Linked DNA regions of Kluyveromyces lactis. Each later gene encodes a partner of the first gene's protein in a complex. Links are inferred from orthologs where the notes say so. Each region holds a gene or a part of one and is shown on either strand. Other genes may lie near its edges.

What was found. Proteins that work in one complex are often made in the same cells at the same time.
Region 2: MRPS9 (region 1) and MRP10 share a complex: the UniProt entries of both Saccharomyces cerevisiae proteins name them as parts of the mitochondrial small ribosomal subunit. The link is inferred for Kluyveromyces lactis from reciprocal best matches to the Saccharomyces cerevisiae genes MRPS9 and MRP10.

What each region holds. Positions count from the first base shown.
Region 1 is NC_006042.1:1,963,006-1,966,068, reverse strand, and holds MRPS9 (mitochondrial 37S ribosomal protein uS9m), read right to left. Parts: upstream 1,440-3,063; coding exon 546-1,439; downstream 1-545. Other genes in the region: MHF1 (Mhf1p), read left to right, coding at 129-446; KLLA0_F21010g (zinc-dependent alcohol dehydrogenase), read right to left, coding at 2,066-3,063. UniProt on the Saccharomyces cerevisiae protein: Component of the mitochondrial ribosome (mitoribosome), a dedicated translation machinery responsible for the synthesis of mitochondrial genome-encoded proteins, including at least some of the essential transmembrane subunits of the mitochondrial respiratory chain.
Region 2 is NC_006041.1:1,178,068-1,180,307, reverse strand, and holds MRP10 (mitochondrial 37S ribosomal protein mS37), read right to left. Parts: upstream 859-2,240; coding exon 571-858; downstream 1-570. Other genes in the region: FAD1 (FMN adenylyltransferase), read left to right, coding at 1-424; succinate dehydrogenase assembly factor SDH5, read right to left, coding at 1,178-1,669; NPC2 (sterol transporter), read right to left, coding at 1,986-2,240. UniProt on the Saccharomyces cerevisiae protein: Component of the mitochondrial ribosome (mitoribosome), a dedicated translation machinery responsible for the synthesis of mitochondrial genome-encoded proteins, including at least some of the essential transmembrane subunits of the mitochondrial respiratory chain.

The sequences.
Region 1 (3,063 bases):
CCAAGATATGCAAGATATACAAGATTACAATCGATTGAGCAGTTCGTTTAGAGTTTTGAGCTGGCAATTCCTGACTTGGCATTGTCCTGTGGGCTCTATTCATGGTAGCGTCGTTCAGTTGATCAAATATGGATGAAGAGAAGAGATTACGATCCCAGTTACGCGGGAAGCTGTGGTTCTATGTGGAATCGATTATCAAAAGAGAACTACCAGAAGATGTAAAATACAATTCAAAATATGTCAACACTCTTACTGAACTGGTTTACCAGCAGATATGTGAGGTTGGTGGTGATTTGGAAGCTTTTGCCCAACATGCTAACAGAAATGTTGTTACGTCTGAAGATATGTTACTACGAACAAGGAAGAACAAGGATCTACAAGATTTTTTGAAACTACGACTAATGGAACTACGAGATGCTAACGTAGGACGACAGAGTAAAAGGTGAAAGGAGCTTGTTAAATTATGTAAAATTGCTATATATGTACAGGACTTGTGAAACAAGCATGTGTTTTTTTTAATGGAAAGGTCAGAGACTAATATCAGATCAACGCTTAACCCAGGTAGGCATCTTTCTTGCCTTTCTCTTACCAGGCTTCTTTCTTTCGACGTGTCTGTAATCTCTTGTCAAGACACCGGATCTATGCAATCTAGTTTTCAATAGTGGGTTGAAAGCAACCAATGCCTTACCGATTGCATGCATCAAGGCATCGGCTTGCCCCGTAATACCACCTCCGGAAACCATTGCAAAGACGTTATATTTGCCAACACTGTCAATGGCTTTTAATGGATACATTACGGATTCTCTGTCCTTCATTTTAACGAAGTAATCGTTTAATTGACGGTCGTTAACTAAGATCTTACCTTCACCACGAACCACATATACCTTGGCAGTAGAGGTCTTTCTTCTTCCGATGGCCAAACTTCTACCAAACTCGTCTAATTGCTTCAAAGTATCTCTTTGAGGTTGCAACTTCGTCTTCTTATGGTATTTCGCTAAAGTGTTCGAAATCTCATCGGTAACCAACTGTGGATCAATAGAATTCAAACGGTTCAACATGAACAAAAGCTGCTTATACTGGGTAGATTTCAAACGGGACCCACCACCTATTAGAGCGTACTCTTGCAAACTCAACCAGGAAGGCCTTTCTTCCACTTGGACGGTAGGATATTTGATATATTTCCTCAACAACGCTTCTAAGTTATCGATATGAGCTTCGTGATGTGGGTTGGCGGAGTAAAAAGTAGACAACTTAGGCACAATTCTAGTCCCTGTGTAACCATATTCTGCACCAGCACGGGCGCCATCATTGTACTGCCTTGAACCAGAACCGGTCCTCTCAGACCCCGAGCTGTTAAACAATGGCCTGGCATAAGAGAATAGTCTTTTCTGTACCGTAAGACCCTGTCTCAAAGAGACACCAGTTAAACGTGAGAACATTTTTCTGATCTTTGGTTTTAGTCTCCCCTTCTATCCCTGTGGAAACTGCTCACGAAAGACCTCAGGCGACTAAGATAAAGACTGCTCAGCTTAATTTATGTCTGTCTCTATCTCTATCTCTACCTCTGGTTGAGCTTTCCAAATTTTTCACTTTCTCAGTTTTTCAATCTAGAAATGCAGATCCGTGTCTGGCTCGCTCCCAGTGACAATGTATACAGAGTTAGACATGGAACTTCAACTCGTACAGTGTGATGGTCGAAGCGAACATTGTCGATGTACTTAAGAGGTCAGCTAGTTGGAACGTACCAGTTGTTTTAGGGGTCAGATGTATTCACCTTAAGGGTGATGGTCGCAATGTGTACTGTAATGGTATAATGGTGTTATTAGTTCCCTTTTTTTTGGGTGGTAAGAATTATTATAAAAGAGCTAAAGAATTAAAGTATTATATCGTGTCTCATTTTGAAGGTCTATAAAATGATTTATTATAAAGTTGGATTGATCTAGTAGCACTACACCAGGCGGAATAAGTGGGAAGTAATGATCAGATATGTTTTATATAAACGGAGAGAGGAGGGAAACATATAAAAGGTGAAAAAAGTCATGACTTGAATGCGGAAGAGATTTCATTATTTTGAAGTGTCGACGACGTATCTACCGACGATAGCACCCTTTTCCATCTTTTCGTAGATGGATGGTAGTTCGGACAAACCAACGACGTGGATTGGAGCCTTGACTAGACCTCTGGAGAAGAAGTCAATGGCTTCTCTGGTGTCAGCTCTGTTACCGACGTAAGAACCGACAATGGAGATGGACTTCACAACTTGGTTAAAGACATCGGACTTACACTTGGCGTCTCTTGGTAGACCGACCAATACGACGGTACCGTTAGATCTGACGTAGTTGGTAGATTGTTCGATAGCGAATTCGGAGACAGAGACGTTGATGACACCGTGAGCACCACCCTTGGTAGCTTCGATGACTTCTTCTGGGATGTTCTTGGACTTGGTGAAATCAATGAAGTATTCACCACCCAAGTCCTTGAACAACTTAGCCTTTTCTTCACCAGCATCGATACCCAACACTCTGTAACCCATGGCCTTGGCGTATTGGACAGCTAGAGAACCTAGACCACCAGCAGCACCAGAGATGGCGACCCAGTCACCGGCCTTCAAGTTGGCGGATTTTAGGGCCTTGTAAACGGTGACACCAGCACATAGCACTGGAGCAACTTCAGCCAAGTCAGTACCGACTGGGATCTTGGCAGCTTGAACGGCATCAGCAGTAGCGTATTGTTGGAAAGAACCGTCGTGAGTGTAACCGGACAAGTCAGCTTCTGGACAGTTGGATTCGTTGGACAATTCACAGTATTCACAGGACATACAAGAACCGTTCAACCATTTGATACCAGCGAAGTCACCAATCTTCCAGCCCTTGACGTTTTCACCCATAGCAACAACGACACCAGCACCTTCGTGACCACCAACTAATGGCAATTTGGTTGGCAAAGGCCAGTCACCCTTCCATGCGTGCAAATCGGTGTGACAGACACCGGAGTACTTGACGTTGATCAAAAGTTCGTTAGCCTTTGGCTTTGGAACTGGGATGTCCTTGTATTGCAATTCAC
Region 2 (2,240 bases), on another chromosome or scaffold:
TGGGGAGACGTTGCAACCAATTCAAAAGACGGACCCCAGTTGGCCCCAGTTCTACAGGTTGCAACCGTTGCTACATTGGAATCTCTCACAGATATGGAGTTTCCTATTGTATTCGGGAGAAGAAGTATGCGGATTATATGAGATGGGATTCACTTCATTGGGCAGTGTAAACAACACATTGAGAAATCCATACCTACGGATACCAGAACCTATAGGCTCCATGACAAAGGCCGAGACTGAACATAGCGATTTCCAATGGGAAATTGAAAACAATTACAGAGGAGATTCTAACATGCATTGTAACGAAATTAACGAGAATGACCTTAATACCATCAAACAGCATGATTCATCTGAGTTCCATCCGGGATGGTATCTAACGAAAGACGAGTGGGAAAGAGCTGGCAGACTCGCCAGAAAAGTTTGAGATGAATCCACTCACAAATAGCTACAAAAATCTCTATCATATTTAATAAATCGTGAATTCCTTGATTTTAGATGATATATGTAATATTAGAAAATGGTATTATGTACAAGTGATAACGAAGGGGGAGAAAGTCTGTCTGCTTCTTTCTAATCATGAGATTTTCCACCAACTCTATCGTACAATCTAGCAGCATGATAGTTGATATTACTCTTCTGGACTTTTTGGTTCTTACCTAAGGCATTTTCCGCGGTACATGCCTTCAAATCTTGGGCCAATGTCTCACATGCACCGTACATGTGTCCGTTAGAAGACCAGCATTGTAATAGATTGGACATCAATACCAAGCATCTGTTAGCCTCTTGTTGAATAATTGGCTTTTTCACCTTAAGTCTGGGAAGAGGTGGTAATTTATAAAGAGGAGTCTTACTGGACATGCTTTAATATATGAACACTTGATATCTTGGACGTACCCTTCGCAACACGACCTTACAAGACCTCTAGAACGGACTACGCGACTACATTTATGATATTTTCCATCATATAAACGATATCATTCTTTATGATCTTAACAAAATTTTTGAGACTTTCGCCAATGTTGGATCTAAGTATGCGGTGTACGGGTTAAATTTTTCACTTGGGCCTGCCCTGGAAATGATGAGCTGCCGCGACAGAGGGAGAGAGAGCATATGGGTATAAAATAAGAGCTATAGACTATACTGTTGCTTAATTGGCAAGTACGTATACCGCTGATGTTCAGTATTTGGAAAGATCAGGCATGCTTAGGATTTCACGATCCTTGTTCTTACTGAACTCTTGCAATTGTTTTAGAATATTGGAGTTCTTCCATCTGTCAGGAAGAGGTGTAATGGAATAGTTTTCTGTGGCCCAGTAGTAGATATCCCAATCTAGTTCGTTCAACAACTGGTCGTACTCTTCTAGTTGTTCTGGGGTCATTTCCTTTAAATACTTAGCAGCAAAACGTGACAAAAGTAAGTCTGTTTCCAGAATACCTCTCTTTCTGGACTGATAAATTAATCTAGCACGCTTCTTGTCTAGAGACTCGCCGGTTCTCTTGATAGGTGGGATTCTGATTCTCACCGTGACATCGTCATCTTGGCCCTCAGCACCGTTGCTGTTGCCCTTGTTCAACAAGTAAGCATTTGCGTGAAGAGAACGGCATTGCTTTGTAATCGAGTTAACTCCAGATTTCAACACTGATGGTTTGTTGAAGACAGTTCTTAGCATTATTAGATGACAGTGGTCGTTTGTTGACTGGACAGGTAGGGATAGTATAGAGGAGGGTATACTAGATATATGTAATACAAATTAGGACCTCTTCCTAACCTGGGGTAACGGAGGAGAGAGATCAACCAATTCAAATTGTGATTCAATTAATATTATATATAGCAAGACGGGTAAAAAGGTGCCGTAATCGGTTCGGTCACGTGTACATGGACCTAGAACTCCACAGCTTTGCAACGTCGCTATAGGAGGAGACCTTATACTTGGCTCACACTGGGTAAGGTCAGTGAGAGACAGGTAGCCTTTGTGACAGGTGTGTCTAGTACGCTGGGAAGATTACTTCACCAGTTAGGCACGTGATCTGTTCATCGTCGACGTTGTAAGCTCTAGCAATGACAGAGTATTTGCCAGGTGGCACCTCGCTAGGGATCTCCACGATCTTGTTCAACTCGTAGACACCTTCCTCGATTGGACATTTCAATCCGTCGATGTCGTTCTCCTCCAATTGTTCACACAAATCGTAGGTTTGTGAGATTAACTTGATGTAACCTAATCTAACTTCGATGTCGATGTA